Caenorhabditis elegans: one gene and its partner. The protein of the gene in region 1 interacts with the protein of each later gene in a pairwise test. Each region holds a gene or a part of one and is shown in the gene's direction. Other genes may lie near its edges. The genes, in order: gsr-1 and nhr-53.

Region 1 (11,951 bases):
GGCCTAGTCTTGATTGCTAGTGGCCTAGTTTTTTTTTTTTTCTGGTGGCCGAGTTTTCCTTTCAAATTAGGATACTTAGGATATATAGTGGCCGAGTTTCCTGTTTTCGCCACTTCAACTAGACCAACTAATCGAATCATTTTCAGTCAAATCTCTGGATTCTGTCCGTGGCTTTTCTCTTCCTGTTCACTGCATTTAACGGACTCCAAAATCTTCAAACTTCCGTCAATGGAGATCTCGGATCTGATAGTTTAGTGTAAGAACGTTTTGAATTTCAATTTGAAAAATAATAATTTTTCAGAGCCCTATATTTATCACTTGCCATATCATCATTATTTGTTCCATCATTTATGATAAATCGCCTCGGGTGCAAATTAACATTCCTTATTGCAATCTTCGTGTATTTTCTATACATTGTCATTAATTTGAGGCCGACGTAAGTTTTTGCGTTTTTTGAGCGCTTGTAACTCAGAAACTAAAATAGTTAGCAAAAAACTGTCAACTAACAAAATGTTAATCGATTTTTGATCTACATTTTGCTAGTTGACAACTTTTTGATATCTTTCACCTATAAGAAGTTATGTGCATTTGAAGAGCTAGAGATATAAAAAATTTATTGCCATTTATTTCCGTTTAGAACTTTTTGCTGTTTAGCATTGTTAGTTCTAAGCTACGTGGCTTTTTCCAGATACTCTTCTATGATCCCTGCTTCAATATTCTGTGGAATCGCGGCTTCATGTATCTGGGGAGCCAAATGCGCGTACATTACAGAAATGGGAATTCGATATGCTAGCCTGAACTTTGAAAGTCAGACTACTGTTATTGTTAGGTAATGGGCTGATTTTCTAAACCTTTTTCAAGCTTTTCAAGCTTTTAATCAAGCCAAATTCAGATTTTTCGGATATTTTTTCATGATTGTACACTGCGGACAAGTCGTCGGAAATATGGTATCCTCTTATATTTTTACACTGTCCTATTCGCAAGCCCTACGCGGTCCTGAAGATTCTATATACGATAGGTTTGCCGAAATTTTTTTTTGAAGTTTTAAAATTTCAATTTTCCAGCTGTGGCTACCAGTTTCCAAAGAATTTATCAGATCTTACCGAGTTGGCGGAGAGCAATCTTGCTCGGCCACCACAGAAAGTTTATGTAGCAGGTGAGCCTACATACCTACATACCTACATACCTACATACCTACATATCTACAAACCTACATACCTACATACCTACATACCTACATACCTACCTACCTATACCCAATTTTTTTTTAAATTTCAGTTTGTCTGGCATACCTCGCTTGTGTAATAATCAGTGGAATGATAATGAGCATGTTCCTGAATGCTTTGGCCAAAGATGCTCGGAACAGGTTTGCCTACTTCCAGTCTTCTCTTAAATTTGGCTCTGAGGTTTCAGAAAAATGGCTCAAAAGTTCAACTCGGAAATTTTCTACCTCATGCTCAAACATTTAATCAATATAAAGTTCATGTTGTTGGTGCCGTTGACGATTTTCAATGGTTTGGAGCAAGCTTTTCTAGTTGGAGTTTATACAAAGGTTAGTGTTACGTGGCCGTTAAGAGGGTAAACTCGGCCACGTCACTAAATCGCAAAACTGAAAATTTTCTTCCAGGCATTCGTCGGATGTGGCCTTGGAATTTGGCAAATAGGCTTTGTGATGGCCTGCTTCGGAATCTCCGACGCAGTCTGTTCCCTAGTCTTCGGGCCACTGATCAAGCTTTTCGGTCGGATGCCTCTTTTTGTTTTCGGAGCAGTAGTGAATCTATTAATGATTGTTACACTTATGGTATGATGCACCATATTTGACGCGCAATTTCATATCTCCTCTCAGGTTTGGCCACTAAATGCAGCCGACACTCAAATATTCTACGTAGTCGCTGCAATGTGGGGTATGGCAGATGGTGTCTGGAATACTCAGATTAATGGATTTTGGGTTGCACTTGTTGGAAGACAGTCTCTACAGTTTGCATTCACTAAATATCGATTTTGGGAATCTCTTGGAATTGCGATTGGATTTGCGTTGATTCGGTGAATTTTTTTTTTGGCTTTTGCCGCATTAAAAATTTATGGGGACGCATCCATTTTGTAATCGATGTGGAAACGCGCTCCACGGGCAATTGAAAACGCTCCGCCCCCTACAGTAGGGTCTCGTTAGGTAGTTGTGGTGGGACCTTGTAAATTCAAACTTTTTCAATTAGTTTCGCCGATTTCCATGCATTTTTCGTTTTTTTTGTTATATTTTCCGTTCTTTGTAAGGATTTTTTCGCCGAAATTGATGAAATAAAGTGGAATTTAAAAATTGAACTATTTTTTAAACTAAAAACGTATTTTTAAACATAATTAGTGGAAAAAATGACGAAAAACATTTTTAGAAACACAAAAAACATTTAAAACGTTAAAATTCGCGTTTTGGTCCCCAATACCTAACGAGACCCAGCTTTTGGGGGCAGGACATTTGCATTTAGCCGTGGAGCACGCTTGCACCTCAATCTGACTATTCGCATTTTTTGCGTCTCCATAATAATGTTGGCCGTGAAAAAAACAGGTGGCCGAGTTTTCTTTTAAATTTCCCGGCCACGCTAGATTTAACTTGAAAAATAATTGAATTTTCAGACACGTCACAGTTGAAATATATTTGCTGATAACATTCTTCATGCTACTTTTAGGAATGTGCGGATTTTTAGCAATTGAAAATTTCGATCACATTATTGTAAGGCTGATTCGAAGAAATTAATTTTTTCTAATTTTAAATTTTCCAGAAATTTTGGCATCACTTAATTCACACGTCATGTCCAGAGAAGGAACCGTTGGATGATAGAAATTCAGATTTTGAATGAAAATAATTAAAAATCAAAAAAATCAGTTAATAAATTCGTACTTTATGTTTTATTAAAAATTCGAAAAGTCGAGAAGTATAACAAAATGCAGTAAAATGAGAAATATGTGATAAAAATTAATAAAACGTGGCGGGTGGCTAATTGAGTTTCAAATTGCTAGACTCTGCGTTTTTCTTGAAAATTTTCAGAATTTCCAGTCCATGCTCAGCCATCATTTCGGGACTCGACATTCCGGTGTCGTAGAGAGATTTTAGAAGAAATCTGGAAAAATTTAATAGGATTAAGCCGTATGTGTCGATTTACGCAAGTCGTGTACTCCTCGAGAAGAAGAAGAACACAGTTTTCGGCTAAAATTCTTGATTTGGAACTGTTTGAGCTAATTTTTTCTGTATTCGAGTTTAGAGCACCGTTTTGTAGTTACAGTAGTTTTCGTGACGGGACCCAAATTGGTTTAGCACCCGTCGAGCTGTATTCAAAATTCCTGCTGAAAATAGAAAAAGGATTTTTTAATCATGTTTTCTATACTTTTTTTGTTTTTTGAAGTTTTTTACAGCAAAAGAATTGGCGAAGATGGTTCAAAATAGATCAAAATATACCCAAAAGTTGTGAATTTTTAAAAATAAAATGCAAACTTCTCTTCGAGGAGTACACTTTTTATGTTGGGAATTTTCCTCACGTCAGAACATTTTTCTTATCACCAGGTGTGCATTGGATATTCTTATCAGCCAATACTAATTTATCATGAACACTTTGAGATGGCTGAGCGACGGTTGGACGGAGACAGAATGTCGTTCGGAAATTTATCATTGGACGGTAGAACTCTAATGCACTGAAAAAATTATTATTTTCATTTCATTATTTTCAATTTTCCAGCCGTACTCTGCATAAATCCATTTTCTCAGATTGGCGGCGTTCACCGCTGATACGAAATAATCTCTTTTACTCTTCCAGATTTGTTTACGCCGAGCCAATGGATACTCTTCATCTATTCCAAGTTCCAAGTCGAGTTGATCCCAAGCACGGCGAGACAAATTCGAATTCCGATGACAAATCAGGCGTTGATCCCATAGGACTAAAAAGGGAAATTTTTGGAAAAACTTCTTGATTTCCTGACTTACTAGGCCTTTTCCGAACTGCATATATAATATCGTACACTTTTTCAGGCTCCGCGTAATCGATTTTTGTAGATTGGCGGACCCGATTGTACTTAAAATACTTGTCTGAGCGTGTTTGCACAGTCAAATCACTGAAAAAAGGATAAAAAAGAAATCTGATAATAAATGTTTTAATTCATACTTTCCATCATTCTTGAGCATATCGGCTGTAATTGAAGGAATGTACATCGAATTGTTGGATGCTCGATAATAAACTGTTTCGGGAATAATTCCGGCATCAGTTTTCGCTTTTAATTCTTCGTAATTTGTCTGAAATCTTTGAATAGAATTGAAACGAATATTATAAAAAGCTGTACCGGAATATTGCGACAAGATCTTCTAGTTGGTCCAAGACGAAGTTTCTTCGATTCGCTGGCGCTCTGAAAAAATGTTTGATTTGTCATCATTTTTTCTAGTTTTCAGTGAAACTTTTGTCATCATTTATTAGTTTTTTCTTGTGCCTGATTGAATTGATTGAAACTACATATAAATAATCACTATTTTAATTTTATTGCCCACTCGCGCTCTTTTTGGTTTTTTTCTAATAAAATTGTCTTTCTTCTCTGCGCACTCCACTATTGACCAAATCAGTGTTTCTTTCTATTTGTCATTGCCCCGACACTGCGAAGAACGTTCGCGATTGTTCTTTGTCTTTTTTACCTCTCTTAATTCCTCCGTTGTAATTGATTTCAAGTCGTCATCGAGTTGTTGAAAATCGGCAAACACTTTTCGCTTCACTATTCGGCCGCTTCGAGATTTTTCAACTTCTGAAAAATTGAGAGATTCATATAGACCATTTTTCAACATTTACCTGTCATTTTTTATTCCAGCGTGCGAATCCGTTTGGAAAATTGAGCGGAATTTTTAATTTCCAAAAAAACTTCTAAATTTCAAATTTTAAACTCTTCGCGCGCTGAAAAAGGGGCGGAGTTTTCAATTCGCAAAATGGGCGCGAGCTATTTGCAACTTGGGCGCACAATTTAGTCCTTGATGTTTGTTTATTTTTTGCTGATCAAATGTCTAAAAACTTCTGTGAACCCTTCTGAATGCTCCGATTTCGCTGCATTTTGAGCACTTCGAGGTATTAAATTGTTACTTTTTGGTTTAAAAAAAGTTTTTGTAGTCTTTGTGGAGTCAAATTTCCATAAAACCTCTCGAATTTCGGAAGAAGGGCGGTCACATGTTTGTAGTCGCGCTTTGCTATCTTTGTAATTTGTCATCGTTTTTGCGTCAGTCGATTTTGAGTATTTCATTCGAAAAATAAACTTTAAAGTCCACTTCGCGACTGAAAAGAAATAAAGCTTTGATTTTTCTGCGAATTTTCAATCGCGCCTCTCTTTCGATGTTCTTACAAGTTCTGTTATTTTCCAACTTTTAATTATTAAAATTCGAGTTCCAGGTCGATCATGTCTGGCGTCAAGGAGTTCGACTATTTGGTGATTGGTGGAGGATCTGGAGGTATCGCTTCTGCTCGGCGTGCTCGTGAATTCGGAGTTTCCGTCGGGCTCATCGAATCTGGACGTCTCGGAGGAACTTGCGTCAATGTTGGATGTGTTCCGAAGAAAGTTATGTACAATTGCTCTCTCCACGCCGAATTCATCCGGGACCACGCTGATTACGGATTTGATGTGACGCTTAACAAGTTTGATTGGAAGTGAGTAATTTTTAATTAGTTTAATCAAATAATTCTTAATTGTTTTGTTTTTTAGAGTGATCAAAAAATCGCGAGATGAGTACATCAAACGACTCAATGGTCTTTATGAGAGTGGACTGAAAGGATCCTCAGTCGAATATATTCGAGGACGTGCAACTTTTGCAGAAGACGGAACTGTTGAGGTCAACGGAGCGAAGTATCGTGGAAAGAACACGCTCATCGCTGTTGGAGGAAAGCCAACCATTCCAAACATCAAAGGAGCCGAACACGGTATTGATTCCGACGGATTCTTCGATCTCGAAGATCTGCCAAGCCGGACCGTTGTCGTTGGAGCTGGTTATATTGCCGTAGAGATTGCTGGAGTTCTCGCAAATCTTGGTTCAGACACGCATCTTCTTATTCGTTACGATAAGGTACCATGAGGAACATGGAAACTTTTCAAGTTTAACTAAATAATTTTCAGGTTCTCCGCACATTTGACAAAATGCTCAGCGATGAACTTACTGCTGATATGGACGAGGAAACGAATCCACTTCACTTGCACAAAAATACTCAAGTCACAGAAGTAATCAAAGGAGATGATGGTCTTTTGACAATCAAGACAACGACTGGAGTCATCGAAAAGGTTCAGACTTTGATTTGGGCCATCGGAAGAGATCCACTGACAAAAGAGCTTAATCTGGAACGTGTTGGAGTGAAAACCGACAAATCTGGGCATATTATTGTCGATGAGTACCAGAACACATCTGCTCCAGGAATTTTGTCTGTTGGAGATGATACTGGAAAGTTCCTTCTCACACCAGTCGCAATTGCTGCCGGACGTCGACTCTCTCATCGTCTGTTCAATGGTGAAACTGATAATAAGTTGACTTATGAGAACATTGCCACAGTGGTTTTCAGTCATCCACTTATTGGAACCGTCGGACTCACGGAAGGTATAATATCTTTAAAATTTAATTCTTTGTGTCAAATTTAATCCCCAAAATTTCAGCTGAGGCCGTTGAAAAGTACGGAAAAGACGAAGTTACCCTCTACAAATCTCGCTTCAATCCAATGTTGTTCGCAGTCACCAAGCACAAGGAGAAGGCCGCGATGAAGCTTGTTTGTGTCGGAAAAGACGAGAAAGTCGTCGGAGTCCATGTTTTCGGAGTTGGATCCGATGAGATGCTCCAAGGATTCGCTGTTGCTGTCACAATGGGCGCCACGAAGAAACAATTCGATCAGACTGTCGCGATTCACCCAACTTCTGCCGAAGAGCTCGTTACTATGCGAGGAGGTGTGAAGCCGGAATAATTTTTTATTTATTTATTACATTTTTAAATTTGGATCAATTTCTTTTGACTTTCTTGTAGATAAAACATTGCAAAATTTAAAATGCATGGCAAAAAAATTATTTACAGGTTATGCAAAAAAATCTAATTATGGTGAGTGCTACATATTAACCCGATGGGTAGATTTTGGTAGGAAAGGATTTTCAGAATTAAAACTGCAATTGAGACTATTCGAGAAGCTCATATTCGTCATCGGCGGCCACTTCTGATTTTTTAGGTTCTCGTCGCCTCCGTCGGATGGTTTTCTGCAAAATTTGGAGTTTTTTGGAAATTATTAAAAAGAAGAAAAAACTACTTTCGGAGCATCCAAATCGAATTCCTCATCACTGGATTCCGATCCATTGATTGCTGAGAATTGAAGACCTCGTTCGAATTCGAATTCTTCTTCTGAAATTTATTAACTAAAATAATTTAAAGAGTCTCTGAAAATAACCTGGAATCGGCGAAGAAGACAATTCCGATTGAATATCTTCATTATCATCATCATCCACATGATTCTCATCGAGATCGGTTTCATCGTTCACTTCTGGAAGAAATCCTTCGAGTTCCACATCGCTTTCTTCTGAAAAATCGATATTTAAAGTAAAAAATTGCTTAACAAAGTGAAAACGCGCTCCAATGCCAACTTTATATAGTCCACCCTATTCTCGTGGGTCTCGCCTGGAATTTCTAGCTTTTTGTCGTTTTTTAAAACATTTTTCGGTAGTTTTAATCATTTCTATGTCAAAATTGGTTAATTAAAAATTTTTTAGATTCATTTTTACATGGAAATCAGAAAAATAGAGGAAAAGTGTAAAAAGCAATTTTTACCATTTTAAAAAATTTTGTCTACTCCTTCGTTTCTCGTAAAAAAGTTTTTTTTTCCGAATTAATTAACTCGTTTTCAATAATTTTTAGATTAATTCAAACAGGAAAAATAGGGTTGAAAAAAAAATTTTTGTCTAAAAAGCCCTTTTTATTTTTATTTTAATGTAAAAAATGATCAAAAAATCGCTTTTCCGTAGTGTAAATTTCCGTTTTTTTCCAGACGAGACCCAAATAAAAGGGGCAGATCGATGGGAGTTTGCATTGGAGCGCGTTTCATAAGACGCACCACAAAATGGATTTTTCTCGGGAATATGATCGATAACTGTCTCACAGACTGGGCCAATTACGTGGATTAATGCACTTGTCTCGATGATTTTATATCGACTATGGAGATAATTTACAATGGGCTGAAAAATTGAATTTTTAAAATAAAATTAAAAAAAATTACCTCCAGGAGCAAGTGGTACACAAAAATCGAGACCTGCTTCCCCACCTCAACCATCAGACAACAAATTGGCCAGAGAATCGAGTCTCGCACGGAAATTGCAATTCGATGAAGGGTGTCGCGGAGCCAGCAACGGAGTTTTTCAAATTGGCACAATAGGAATCTGGAATTTTTTTGTTTTTTCTCAATTACTTTAAAAGTATAGAATAATGAACCTAGAACTCTCAAACTAACCCCTTAACCGGAACCCAAATATGCTTATAAGCCAATGCTCCAAGTGATTTCAACTGCTTAACACTGAATTTCCAGAGTGGTGGGAACCAGTGAGCACAGAAAATATAGACAAACACGAAACAAAGTTGATCGAAAAGGTAGCGGAGGGGAACACCGATCTGAAAAATCTTGTGCTAATCTGTATAATTCTATTGTAGTAATGGGGGAACACAGGCCAAACAATACTCAAATTGGCCCCCAAAAGAACGGAATTTATTAGCCTTTTTCAAAATTTTGTCGAGTTTTTTTGCTTATTATTCTCGTTTATCTGACGATTTTTCGTTGATTTAAGTACATTTTGAGCTGATTATTCAAAGAATCAAATAAAATTAGGGTTTGAGGCCATTATAAACATAGAAAAGAAGGCAATAGAAAATTTTCTAACAATTTGAGGAAATTATGAACAAAAAAAATAGGAACAATGAAAAATTATGACGGCATTGAATGAGCAAAAAAGAAGCAGGGAAAATTTCATAATAGAACTGATAAAAAACGAAATTAAAATGCTTACATTCAATTTCAGCCACTCTTTCAACGTCGGCCACCATTCTGCACAAAACCAATATCTGAGGAATTGACGAATTCTCTGAGCAACTCGTTTTGTTCGTTCTACGATCGCCACGTGGATCCAGTTTTTGATACCATTGACGAGTTCACGACATGATTCACGGAAATTGAAGATAAAATGCTTTACGTAGGCGATTAGAGCTGTAAAAAGAGAGGGGGTTTTCGATTTTTTAAAGAAAATATTTCAAATTTTTTGAAAAATTTTTTTTCAATAAATTATGTTTTTTTTTCCTGAAAATTAATAGCTTTACGGGAATTTTTCACAAAAAATTTGAAACATTTTTGCTTCGAATTGATTTTTTCTGGAAAACTGGCAATAAATAGATTCGATTTTCGATTTTTCGGAAAACTTTTAATTTTTAAAAATGTTCATAAATAAATAATTTTAAAAATCCCAAAAAAATATAGTGTTTCGGAATTTTAAATTAAAAAATTGGAAAATCTAAAAGTTACCGTATTTTTTTGATTTTTCGGGAAGAGAAAATTCCAATTTCCATTAATATTGTCAATTTTTTTCATAAAAAAATATTCTTAAGTTTCTCATATTTCCGGAATTGGTTTTTGAAAACAAAAAATTTAATGTTTTTATTTGGAAAATTTTTTTATTTTTTTTATTTTCAATTTTTCAAATAATGTACTTATTGCCAATTTTAAAATTTATTTCAATGAAATTTTCATTTTTCTTTAGATAACAAACATTTACAAAATTTCGTACAAAAATCATAGTTTTTTCCATTTTCCGATTTTCTCCGAAAATTCAATATTTTTGTGAAAAATATTTTTAAAAACTTACGTGGAACCCATCGGAAGAGCACAATATATTTAGTATACTCATATACAGTAACAACTGGAGTAATAATAAGATATTGAATCCAACTTCCAAACCAGGAAACTGTCCGCCGCGTTGCTGACGCTATTTTCGAGTTGACTTCGTTGTGCTCCCACACTGGATTTACAAGGAGACACGCTACTGAAAATGGAAAATTTTTTTTTGTTTTTTTTAATCTAAGAGACTTAGTATTGCGCGACATATCTCGTAACGAAATCTACAGTAAGTGACTTTAAGTGACTACTGTAGCGCCTGTGTCGATTTACGATTTACGGGCTCGAGTTTCGAAATGAATTGGAATCTTTTGAAAATCGACACAAGCACTACAGTAGTAATTCAAAGAGTTACTGTAGTTTTCGCTACGAGATATTTTGCGCGTCAAATATGTTGCACAATACGCATTCTCAAAATTTCATGTTTTTATAATACTTACAAGTTGCATAAGCAGCGTAACAAGCCAACCGAACTTGCTCAGCACGTAATAAATGAATGCTGTAGACTGATCCACCGACTGACAGCGTCTATAAATAAACATTAATTTTTAGTCTTTTATAATCGGATTAAAAAATGGATTTACTCTGAATATAGATTGAAATGGCCACATTAAAAGATGTGTGATGATTGAACGATCATTTGAAGAGGAAAGTAGAATATCCCAGGCAAAAACTCCGGCGGATGCAGTTGCTAGAAGAGCTTCTTGGATACGAGGATCACAGTAGATCACACCGATCCTGAAAGAAAGAGGATTTTTTTAAAATGAAATTGGTTGAATTTTAGGATTTTTAAGTGCAAAATTTTGGTTTTTTTTTCAGTTTGTTGTGGTTTTTTCAGTGAAAATATAGATTTTTTGCTTAGTTATCGCAGAAATGATGATTTTTCTTTGAAAATTTGGTGTTTTTTTATTCATTGCAAAAATTGGTTTTTTTTTTTCATTTTTTTAAAATTTTCTATGAAATTTTTTTAAAATTATTTATTGCAGAAATTTGATGTTTTCCGCCAGATTTTCGCAGAGTTCCATATTTTTTGATTAATTAACAAATTCACGTGTGTATTACCCAAACGCAAAAGTTTACGGTAAAAAACGGTCTCGGCACGACAAATTTTTGTTAAATGCGAAGAGTTGTGCGCCTTTAAAGAGTACTGTAGTTTCCAAAGAAAATTTCATCCATTTTTCATAGTTTTTTGAACGATTTCTTAAAAACTTGTGTTTTTATAGTTTTATTTAAGTTGTAAAAAAACAATTTTTCTTTTTTTTTTAATTGAAAAACCATAAAAATCGATGAAAATTTCTCAGAATTGTTTAAAAAAAGTTTTTTTTCAACTACAGTATTTTTTAAAGGCGCGCACCTTTTTGAATTTAACAAAAATTTGTCGTGTCGAGACCGGTTGCCGTATATATTGATTTCCTGACAAAAATCACATGAAATTTCTACGGTGAGCATGGAAAAAAAACCATTTCACCACAAAAAATATAGAAAAGTTGAAATTGACTACAGTAACTTTAAAGGTACACACACTAAAACCAACTTTTGCTGCGAGACCCAATCTCTTACCAAAAAGCCGAATTAACAGCCATCAAATATAATCCAGTAAGCGGATTCCTCCATTCGATAGTTTCTCGATAGACTTGATGAAGTCTCCGGCCACTTTCTCGTATCCGTTCCATCATTTTGGAGTTTAAATTAAAATTTTAAAATTTCAACGAAAAACCAAAAAAAGAAATCGATAACTCTCTTCACATCTGTTATTATTTTCTTTTTTGTCAACCTAAAAACAGAACAGTTGTTTCTTTTTTTCTTTGAAACTCATAAGAGATAGAATGGGAGCGATGAGAAAACGCTTCGGGAATTATTGAATTATTGCGAAATCGGCATTTTTTTACAAATTTTTTTATGAGATCTGGAATCTGGAAAAAAAGAGAAAAAAGATGTTAAATAGAATCTCGGATCAAAACATAAAAAAATAAAATAAATAATTTATTCCCATCTGCTTCGTTTTGAGGAAGAGCTGCTGCTCGAAGAGCCACCAGAAGCTGAAGA
Region 2 (11,238 bases), on another chromosome or scaffold:
ACTAGGTACTTGTGTGGTGTCGGACGCTACCATAATAACGACCTGTGCGGTATCGGTCGCTAAAAAATTAAGAACTCATGCGATGCCGGGCGCTAGCAAACTAGGAAGCCGAGTATTGTCGGCCGCTAGCAAATTACTAGCCGGACGTTAATTAGGAAGAACCCGGGTAGTGTCAGGCGCAATCTTTGGCCGCAACAGTTCGGTAGAAAATGTTATTAGTGTGCTCACTATCAGTAGTCCGGGAGCTCCGGGTGCACCCGACACCGCCCGGGTTCCGCCACTCAACCTGAAATCTTACTGTATATTTGAGGCCCGCGCAGCGTCCACCAGACAACTTACCCTAATGTAAACTTGCATTTCTGCCTCCGTCGTTGTTGTATTTGGATTGTTCACGATTTCGGTGATATTTGTAGCAAGTATATTTAGCAAATTCTCCAAGTTAGTGACACGTTCCAGAGTAACCTGAACTTGCGAAATTTTTAGATTTTGCGACAGAAACAATCCTACAGCTCTTTCATTTCGACTTTCCACTGTCCAAAACATGAATGCTCCAAAAATCGTGTAGCTCAGTACCATCAGAGCCACCATTATATGTCTGAGACCAATTTGTTTCCGATGGAATGCGAACCAATACATGGATCTATCAAAGTGCCGGTCAGTTGGCATCACAGGTTCACCGAGAGCTCCTGGACTACTGAGCACACTAATTGCATCTTGTCTCGGCTTATATCTTCTCTGAAGCTGTCCAAATGTGTCTTGATTCCTTTGAAATCCTGATACGGTATGAGCATTTCTCTCGTAATACTTTTCGACGGCTTCAACCTTTGAAAGACTCGTCGATGAGTTGCTACGCGAGAGTGGAAGGTTCTGCATTGTTGGGTGAACACGGTTCTTTTTTCGCTCTCTTTCTTCAAGTGGGGTTAGCTTTGGCTCTTGGCTGAAATTCTGGAAGTTTTTGTTGTGCAATTTACAGAAAATGGTCATTTTGGAAATTTTAAAAATATCTTAAATCAAATTCTCAAAAATAAAAATTAATAAAAACCTCACCTTTCTTCTGCTGGAGCAACATTATTCACCGGCGGCTCCGGATTTTCCGGTTTCACCCCGCCGTCTTCCTCCTCGTCGATTTCTGAAATAAACTTTTTTTTCAAATTTTAAATTTGTCGTAATTTTTTTAAATGAAAAGTCAAATTCACTGTAAATTTTACACACTCAACTCAAATTTTCAATGAATTCGGAAAGCGAAAATCAGATTTTTTTTTAATATTCAGTTTTTTGACAGCAGACATATATATTAAACAACCAGTCTAATTTTTATGAGCAATTGAATTTTTCGAAATCTTGTTGCAAAATAACAAAATATCCAGGCAATTTCAAAGGAAAAATTCAAATTTCCAGTCAATTTTAAACGGGAGAATTTTTTTAGCAAAATGTCCAATGAATTTTAGTTGGGAAAATATATTTCAAGTCAAATTCAGTCAAGAAAACAAGATTTTCTATCAGTCTTAAGCTACAACACCTATTTCTCTTCAACAAAAACATGACACATCTACTATAAAAAAAATACAGTAATCCATTTAAACGAACCTTCCAAAACTGCCTGATGAGAATTCGCGGGACCATTTCTTGTCGGGATTGTCACCTAAAATCAATACAACTTTCTAGCTTAACCTTCAAAAATCGCATTTGACTTATTACCTTTGCGGTAATCATTTTTGGTCTTTGACGTGAATAGATCAAATGAGAATATCGTGCGACTTTTCTGAAGAAATTCTGAATTGACTGATATGACGAGACTGTATTGAAGGAAAAATAAAAAGTTAAAATGAAAAAACCAACGTATACGCGCAAAAAGTGACACAATGATATCACTGATATCACTTGAAGTGATAATCTCAGACACTTTTCATCTTTGTTCTCATTTCCTCACTGTTTGAAAGAGAAGGGGCTGATTTGGGGGACTATAAAAATGTTAATGGTGTCGTGCACTTTTCCGGATTTTCATATGTTTATTTTTTTGTGTTTCTATCAATTGATTTCTGAAATTACAGTCAAGATTTATAAAACTTCGCTTCTGATTTTCGAATTCGAGTTTTCAGAAAATGTTGTAATTGAAGTTTTCAAAAAAACTCTGACAATTATTTTCATAAAATACTGAGATTTATAATTTTAGAAAATGCTGAAATTTATATTTTCAGAAAATGCTGAAAATGAAAATTTTCAGAAATTTCTGAAATTGAAGTTTTTTTTTCCAAAAATACAGAAACTTAATTTCCGCAAAATTTGTTTGTACTTCCAAAATTTAAATAGCTTTTTTTAGAGATCTAGCCATTAAAAAACGTTTTTTAAAACAAAGTGTACGCAAAAAAATCACAGCAAAAAATGCATACATCATTTGCAACAGGTTGCATATTGGATCCAAACCTCCAAATTGTTTCACTTTTTTATTTCGTGAAAATCAAAACACTGTGACCATTATGACGTTTTGCAAACTTTTTTGAACTATTTAATCGGATTTTCACAGTTTTCAAAGCAAAACTGTTCGACTTTGTGATGACATCCCGCTGTGAAATTGACATCATTTTTGGGAACTGAACTCCAAAATTTTTAATCGTGTTAACAATATAAAAAATCAAAACTAAAAGAATAAAACTGAAATATATGTATGATGAGAACATAAAATTCGTGGAAGAAGTTATGAGTGGGAACTGAGCGCTATCAAATTTTTCAAAGTGAAAAATTATTACAGTATTTTTCATATCACTGAAAGCGCCTTTAAAAAAATAGAATTATCAATAAAATACAAAATTAATATATTTTCAGGTAGCGTTCAATTTATGAAAAAAACAGGAGACGAACAGTAATAAAACAATATTACACAATTTGTTTCAGGTTTGCTTTGACACCCTGTACCAAAACATTTCAACAATTTTTATTCATTGATTGTCTGATGGGAAAAAGAAATATCGATAAGTGATTGAAATGGAAATCTTCTCTTGTCGGGTTTCATTTGGATTTTGAACTTGCTAAAAAATTTCACCTTTTCGGGTAACGTTCTCGTGAACATGGACTGTGAACAGGTGGTAAATAAATACGCTAGTAGGCACGCAGGCAGGCTGTGGCAAGCCTACATTCAAACACCATCTATGGTAGAATCAACTTAGAAATGTGAGAGCTAATTTGCTGAAAATCCTGAAAGTTTCTATAATTTTTTCTTTTTATATTTTCAGAGAGCTTATTTTAAGGGAGTTTAAATCCCAAAATGCTTTGTAAATTATATTTTTATTAGATTTTTCCAGAAAAATTGAACAACTGCATATCTTGCAAATTGCAAGTTTACTTCGAAAAAAATTGAACTCTTCTGGCTTCAGATTCAATTTTTAAAATACTTTCTGCTATTAATTATTTCAGATAATTTGAATTCATTTCCCACATCACGTTCAAGAAGGCTTTTTTTCTTTTAGCCCAATCTCCAACCATTTTTTTCAATCCAATCAACATTTGTAGCACTACAGTGTAGTCAGTGTGTGTCAATCTGTTCCCTTTCTCTAAAGAAAACATCACAGTCCATTGTTCCGCACAGTTGATTTACTTGTGTATTTACTTTCAGTGCCTATCCTATTTGTAGTGCACAAATGAGAGCATTTTTATAAATGAAAAGAGTCTTCTAGTTCAAGGTATTTTGGTCAAATTACATGTTTCAATTTTCAAACAGTATAAGTTTCAATTTTTGAACATTTTAGATTTTCAATTCCTAATATTTTTTATTTACATTTCACAAATCACTCGCTACTCGGGAAACATCGCAGTTAGTGAAATATGAGAAAAAATTAGACTTTTCCAACACGGGATGCTCGCAATATTTAATTTTCCAATGAAAAGTTGCTCTTTAATCTGGTGAAAAAAAATTTTAGACTATGCTGCCTTACGGCTTATGCATAATTTTTTATTTTTTATTCATAATCTCTTCCTTAGTAGCCCACATAACTTATTTTTATTTCTTGTTTCAAGGTTTTAAAATCTGGTTTATTTTATATCAATTTTGCCAAAAATTTTCAAATCCTTGCATATTAAATTCAAAAGTGATCAATGATGTTATCAATAGGGAAACCATATGACGAGGCGAAAGGTGATAAAATGATCTGATTATTGTATTATTGAGTGGTGGCCGCCGTATTTTCACTTTGTTTCACTTCAGCCAACTTGAATTGTTAGTATCTTTTTATAGATTTTTCTTACTATTGATTGTTCATTTATTAAATAGAACTTATTATACCTGAATAAATAACATTTTCATGTTTCTTATGACATTTAGCTAATTCCACTTTGGATTATCCGTCTTTCTATTTTTCAACAAACTCATTTCCCTAATATTTTTATCATCACACATTTTCAACTTTCTTTTCAGAAAAATGCCTTCCCCAACTCATTTATTAAACAATTTCGAAAGTTCTTCTTCCCAAGGACCACCTTCATATTGTCTGATTTGTTGTGAAGTTGCTGATGGACATCATTTTGGAGCAGCAGCATGTAGGCAAGTTTTTTGTATGTTCCTGTAATATATCTACAGTAACCCAACTGTAAACGTGTTAAATATTCACAAAACGTGTACCTTGTGAGCAGAAGAAGCGCTGACAAAAAATATGTGGGCGGACCTCGGTCGATGTCGGCTGCAAATTTACTTTTTTTTCTCAAATAAATTTAACGATTATGTTTCAGAGCCTGCGCTGCATTCTTCCGACGCACAGTCCAACTGAATAAGGTCCACGATTGTCCGAAAAATGGTCAATGTTTTATCTTATCAAGTGAGTATCTATAACTACACCACTACAATTTGTATGGTCCGAACTACACATATTCAGATGTGCGTAACATGTGTAGAGCCTGTAGGTACGAGAAATGTCTCGAAGTGGGAATGCAACGATCATCTGTACAACAGAAACGTGATCAACTGGGGAGGCGAGACGGTTTACCGACGAACCGTGAAGAACCAGTTCTGGACACTATGCGGAGGGCGTATGAAAAGTTACTAGTTGTCAGGAAGAAGGTTCATAACCGGCAGGAGGTAGGGGTGATTTTATACGGATATTTGGATATTGTTAAAGGATGAAATCTGAACTTATGCTTTACATTTTTTTAATTAAAAAATACTCACAGTGAGGGTCGAACCCCCTAACTTTGTGTACAAGAAAACTCCCACTGCGCCGTTTGGGAAATTAAAAAAAAAAAAACTTTAAGAACCTCGAACATAAATTACAGAGTTTCATTTCGAAATTTTCAAAAAAATTACCAAAAGCTTAAAACTTTTTTCCAGAACCAACTTCCCCGAGCCATCAGTTTCAACGAGCTTCAAGTAGTGTATCAAAATGAGATGACTGTAATTTATCAATTCCTTTGCGAAGCATTTCCCGAGTACTCTGAGCTCCTTCCAGACACAAAACGATCGCTTTTTAAGAATTTTTTCCTACCATTCACACTTTTGGAGAGCTCATATTATGGATATTTGACGAGTAAGTTCCACTTTTTAGATAAAAATTAAAATTAAATCAAAAACTGAAATTTCAGAGCAAGAAAATGTGATGCTCATTCCTTCGGGCGACTACGTTGATTTGGCTCATCTAGAGTCATATTTCAACAATAATCATCACACGTTTTCTCAAAAAGACACTATTTCGATGTTTGCTCAGCAATTTCGAATGCTCCACACTTCTATAACTGTTCCGTTGAGTGCTGAAAATGTAGATGTTAATGAGTTTCTAGCTCTAGCGGCTATAATTCTCTGGGAATCCGATTTAGAAGTAGAAGCCGATCGGAAGAATGTTCAAGAGGAAGCTGTGAAGATTAAGAGCGCTATTATCAAGGATCTACTTTTTCACTATCAATCTATAAATGTATACGCTGACGTGGCAATGAGGCTTGGCGCTGTTTTGTCCATACTTCCTTCAATTCAGGTTTGCTGCTCGCGGAGCAACAATTTTTTGATTATAAGCTCAAAAGTTGTTTCAGAGAGCCAGTCACCGTTTCCACGAGTATATGGAAATCAAAAATCTGCTCAATTTGTATGCTCTGCCCAAGAATCTCTACGACATGTTCTCGCCAACTTCCTGAATTTTAATGTTTTTTTTAAATTTATTTTCTTAGTGTACAATAAACAAGTATTATTTTTATTTGTCTATAAAATTAAAACTTTTGTTAGAATTGTCCTGAAAAGCAGAAGTGGGGAATAAGAAGAAGAAATGTGCCGAATAAATGTACCGAACAATGCGACTTTGCAGTTGAGCAACTTTTTGAAATTTTTAATCAAAAGTAATGCTATTTTCAGAAAAAATAACTTTGGCAAATCCATAAGAAGGAGAGGATTTCGCAAATTCTGTTAATGCGCTCTGGTGGAGCATGCTCAGTTTAAAAAAAAGAGTATAATTTCGGAAAGCTGTGCAAACACGCCATGCAATTTTATAATTTTCAATAGGCACACGAGGTATAAAAGCATGCCACAACCATTGTTTTTCAAGAGTTTGTTGAGTTCTGAAATAACATCAGATTAAGCTGGAGTCCGATTTGCCTTTATGACTAATGAGCCTCGTGAATATATAATATATTGTCTCGTTAGCTCTCAGAGTGTTTGATCATATTCAAAACGTGTGTAATGAGTTCTATTTGGCAGACACATCACACAACAAATCTACCTCCAACTTTTTGATCTTACAAACTTATTTCTGCTTTTTTTAGTCTCTATATAGTCTAATCCAAGGGATTTTGTGAAGCTCAAAAATTCAAAAATCTCAGAATATTGTTATTCTTGTTTTTTTTAAATCCATTTGAAAACAGGTGCAGTTGCAGATGATAATTAATTATTCATTTATTTCAGAAACATGTTCACCCTAGCTCGTGTGTTGAACAATATTGGAAGCGCTTCATCCAATGAACCGATTCCATATTGTTTGATTTGTAGTGAGGTTGCTGATGGGAATCATTTTGGAGTAGCTGCAGCGTGTAGGTGAGTAACTTTTTCAAAAATTTTGAAATTCGTGAAATTTTCAGAGCTTGCGCTGCATTTTTCCGCCGCACAGTCCAACACAATAAGATCCACGAGTGTGGGAGAAATGGGCAATGCTTTTTCCTATCATGCAAGTTTTTATTGGTCGGGTTTCAAATATCACCACTAAGTTCAGACGCACGGAGCATGTGTAAAGCCTGCAGGTACGGTAAGTGCCTTGAAATGGGAATGCAACGATCATCGGTGCAACAGAGACGTGAACAACTCGGGAAACGTCTGAATATCTCTGATGATCGTGGAAAGCCAGTGCTTAATAAGTTGCGAAGAGCGTACGAAATGTTAATTTTAAACAGGAAACACGTGCATAATAGGCGGGAGGTAAGGACTGTTTAATTGTTCATATGAAATACTGATACCTGATCAGTGAACCATTTCAGAACCAAGCACCCCGAGCCATCGGCTTTAACGAGCTTCCAATCGTGTTTCAAAACGAGTCGACAAGCATATATCAGTTCCTCTGGGAAGCATTTCCCGAGTACTCCATGCTTCTTCCAGACACAAAACTCGCATTTTTCAAAAATTTCTTCTTGTCGTTCTGTCTATTTGAGAGCTCGTTTAATGGATGTTCAGCAAGTATGTTTTTTTTTCAGCCATAATTTTTTCATTCCATATCTAAATTTTCAGAGCAAAAAAATGTGATGCTCATTCCATCCGGTGACTACATCGATTTGGCTCATTCTGAATCGTTTTTCACCAACGATCATCAAACTTTCACTGAAAGAGACAATATTGAAATACTCGCTCAAAGGCTAAAATTAATACAATCATCTATAACTGTTCCGTTGAGTGCTGAAAATGTAGATATCTATGAGTTCCTCGCGCTTGCGGGTATCATTCTCTTGGAATCGGATTCTGAGTCAGAAGCCGATTTTCAAGAAGAAGCTGTGAAGATTAAGAGCAATATCATCAAGGATCTACTTTTTCACTATCAATGTATAAATATTTATGATGACGCAGCAATGAGGCTTGGCGCAGTTTTGTCCATACTTCCATCAATTCAAGTTTGTTGCTCGCGGAGCAACAATTTTTTGATTATAAACTCTAAAGATGTTTCAGAGAGCCAGTCACCGTTTTCACGAATACATGGAAATCAAAAATATGCTCAATTTGTACGCTCTTCCCAAGAATCTTTACGACATGTTCTCGCCAACTTCATAAAATTTATTTGTAAATTTGTTTCTATTTGATTTTTTTTAAATAGTTATACTGTAAATTTTTGATTCCAGTAGTATTAATAAAAATGTACAAAACTTTGGCAGCCACTTTTGCCGAGTACCTCAGAGCGCATTTGCAATTTCTATAACTGTTTTTTTTAGTTTGATCTACGAAAATGCGCTGATAATCTCTAGCTGTAAATTAACTATTATTTTTAATAATACATCAATAGTACCACGCCGTTGGCTAGACCGGAAATTAAAATGCACAGTTTTTCATATTTCCTTCAGATTTTTTTCATCACCATGATATTGTCTCATCAAGCTGTAAGTTACTCAGAAAACATTCTAAAATTTCCCAATGTATCAGCAATTTGTCGTCTCCGCAATCACCTTTATTGTGAGTTTTTGTAAAACGTAGTTGATAGAAGGTACTGTAAACTGCTCCAATTTCAGGTATCATTAATAGGTATCCTCTCAAATATAGTTTTAGTCCTTGCAATCCGTAAAACGTACTCCATGAATGGCTCTTTTGGGATAATCACTAAAAACCAAGCAATTTGTAATATCCTGACCTGTGCAATATTTCTAGTGTATGTTTTCCCTTTACAAGTTAGGTAGGTGTTACAGGAAAACAATTTAAAATAGTTTTTTTTCTAAAGATACTCACCTCCTATGATTCACATCTCACATTATGTTGGAAACACTTGCATGACAATTTACGAGATTTCGAATTTATCTCATTTATTGATTGCTCTCAATCGATTCTGCGTGCTATTTTTTCAGCATCGATATGAGCAACTTTTCAGGTAATTTTGAGCAATAAGTGGTGCGGGCGATATGGGGGAGGCACGTGGTGTCAGGCAGTACCATTTGATCTACAAAATGCGGGATTTTTTTGCCCAGGAAAGTGCGGCGTCGGCACGCTGTTAACCATGCAAAATCGGTTTAGAAATCGGCGTCTAAATTATCGCAAATCTCGCAGGTCAAACCGAAATGTGACACTCTGACACCACGTGTGGAGAGCGTAAAAAACGTCTATCTTCCGTGGGTGCCTAAAACAGCAAGTTAGTAACACATATTCGTGCACCAGACATCTCCCGGGTTCCGCCACAAGATGCGCTGTCTTGAAACCCTGCAGATGTCGGGCGCTAGCCGTAGTCACATTTCTCTCTTCCAGTAACCCGAACACAGTAATCATGCGGAATTACTTGTGGATAACTTGTATTATATTTTGTGCAGTCTGCTATGAGTTCTCCAAGTGCTTCCTCAAATACAACCCCAACCACTGGTCATTCGAATTTGAGAATTCGGATTTTTGCGATTCTCTGATCTGGTATTCGGATTTCCTTTTCAACACGGGAATCGATATAATCACTTTGTTTCTGAATTTACTGACTGCTTACAAAGGAAGAAAACAGTCACGAGTTCTGATAAATGCGGCCGGATTGAAAGTTTCCGCGATTCAACGGAGAAGAGAATGGAATTTTGTGAAGCAGACCTGTTTTCAAGGCTTATCGATATTTACAGGCCAGGTTGCTTTTTATTTTGTGGCTCCAGTCATTGATGCAGACTGGGTCATTGCTCAATTTATTGCTGCTACTTTTTGGGTGTTTATCCATGCCGCAGAGGGGTGAGTTTCAGGCCTACCTGAGTGCCTACAGGTCATATCACAGTTGCTTTCCAAACAATTTCAGAGGAATAATTTTGGCGTCTAATGGAGAACTGAGAGCTGCTTTTAAGAAAGGTATCAGCCAATTTATTCATTTCACTTAATTTGTTTTCAATTCAGAATCCACTGCAGTTTTCGTGATTGTTCGGAGGGTGTCGGTTTTGTAATTTTTTTGGTATTCTTCTCCACGAGAAGTTTTTGATGAATTTATCAAAAACTTTTTCGGAAAACACATTTTAATAGAAAATTAATGAATATCTCACCCAGCAATAAGATTTTTTTCACTAGAAGCTATAATTTTTCTGAAATTAATATATAAAAATTCCCTTAAAAATGGGAAATTCTCAAAAAATACAGCAACGTTTCTGAAAAATCAATAAATTTTTAAAAGAAGTTCAATTTCCAATGTAAATATGAATTATCCGAAAAAAAATCATAAATATACAAAACAATTGAATTTTCAAAAAAATCGATAGATTTTCAGAAAACTACATTTTTAAGAAAAGAGGTGATTGTAGAAAGACAAGTGCTAGGCAGGCACGTAGGCAGGCAGGCGGCAGGCAAGCAGGCACGTAGGGAGAAATATTCTTATTTTCGTTTAGATGATTTGTTTCAAAATTACATGTATTAACATATTAATTTTTAAAAATTCCGTGAATACGAGTTATACATTAAAAGATTCCATTTATTTTCTGATTTTGCTTCTGCACCTTCTGAGACGAATTTTCTTTACTATTATTTTTCTCGATGTCCAAACAAGTATCATATACGAGTTGTTTCCCTCTAAAATCTGGTGCAAGACATTGGAAAGTCATGCAAAGGTATTGAAAACCGTCATAAGCCTTGTTGGTGACATTGTACAAGGATAGGAGGTCAGTGAGCCGAGAAGGTGCGGATTTTTGGCATGTTGACTGACAATATTGGAGCAATGCAGAGCAGTAACGCTTTTGATGTCGGGATAGTGTCTCCTTAGCTTTTTCAGATAGCTCATCGGAAATTGCTGAACAATTTTTTTTAGAAAATTGAAATGCGAATTCCAGCCAAAATTGTTTGAAAAAAATATTTTTATTTTCAAAAAATATTTTTAAAAGGAAATTGTAAACGTTAATTTCTCGCCAAATTGTTCTTAAAATTGAGTATGGCAATTGTTCTAAAAGCTAAAGTATTAAATTCAAGGAAATTCAAATTTTTGCGCAAATTAAAAACATTAAAAAAAAACTATCCCGAAATTTGAATTTTAAATTTGAAAAGTTTCGGCGAGAAATAATAAAAATATCGTTTTAAAAAGTTTGGTAAAAATTGCACATTTTAATTTTTGAAACAAATTTTTGTCAGGAAATTAAAATTAAAATTTT

The links.
Region 2: the proteins of gsr-1 (region 1) and nhr-53 interact in a two-hybrid assay, tested with the Caenorhabditis elegans proteins (one large-scale study listed by BioGRID).

Annotation. Positions count from the first base shown.
Region 1 is NC_003281.10:3,645,924-3,657,874, forward strand, and holds gsr-1 (Glutathione reductase, mitochondrial), read left to right. Parts: upstream 1-4,983; 5' UTR 4,984-5,052; coding exon 5,053-5,087; intron 5,088-5,405; coding exon 5,406-5,660; intron 5,661-5,715; coding exon 5,716-6,073; intron 6,074-6,123; coding exon 6,124-6,595; intron 6,596-6,651; coding exon 6,652-6,953; 3' UTR 6,954-7,035; downstream 7,036-11,951. Other genes in the region: Putative potassium channel regulatory protein unc-93, read left to right, coding at 147-256, 302-436, 689-829, 893-1,018, 1,065-1,156, 1,279-1,366, 1,414-1,552, 1,628-1,801 and 3 more; madf-8 (MADF domain-containing protein), read right to left, coding at 2,990-3,113, 3,529-3,681, 3,732-3,924, 3,971-4,098, 4,149-4,276, 4,324-4,386, 4,667-4,773, 4,818-4,824; C46F11.5 (RING-type domain-containing protein), read right to left, coding at 7,159-7,236, 7,284-7,378, 7,425-7,553, 8,085-8,205, 8,247-8,406, 8,478-8,635, 9,028-9,224, 9,877-10,053 and 3 more; C46F11.4 (RNA helicase), read right to left, coding at 11,889-11,951. UniProt on the Caenorhabditis elegans protein: Catalyzes the reduction of glutathione disulfide (GSSG) to reduced glutathione (GSH). Constitutes the major mechanism to maintain a high GSH:GSSG ratio in the cytosol. Involved in resistance to oxidative stress and starvation.
Region 2 is NC_003283.11:15,695,534-15,706,771, reverse strand, and holds nhr-53 (Nuclear hormone receptor family member nhr-53), read left to right. Parts: upstream 1-4,408; 5' UTR 4,409-4,412; coding exon 4,413-4,534; intron 4,535-4,719; coding exon 4,720-4,805; intron 4,806-4,862; coding exon 4,863-5,065; intron 5,066-5,314; coding exon 5,315-5,510; intron 5,511-5,565; coding exon 5,566-5,951; intron 5,952-6,006; coding exon 6,007-6,108; 3' UTR 6,109-6,166; downstream 6,167-11,238. Other genes in the region: twk-34 (Potassium channel domain-containing protein), read right to left, coding at 340-462, 508-937, 1,048-1,129, 1,588-1,642, 1,699-1,713; Nuclear hormone receptor family member nhr-199, read left to right, coding at 6,873-6,997, 7,042-7,375, 7,435-7,630, 7,682-8,244; srx-29 (7TM GPCR serpentine receptor class x (Srx) domain-containing protein), read left to right, coding at 8,573-8,611, 8,668-8,828, 8,874-9,020, 9,392-9,844, 9,909-9,987; nhr-198 (Nuclear receptor domain-containing protein), read right to left, coding at 10,555-10,883. UniProt on the Caenorhabditis elegans protein: Orphan nuclear receptor.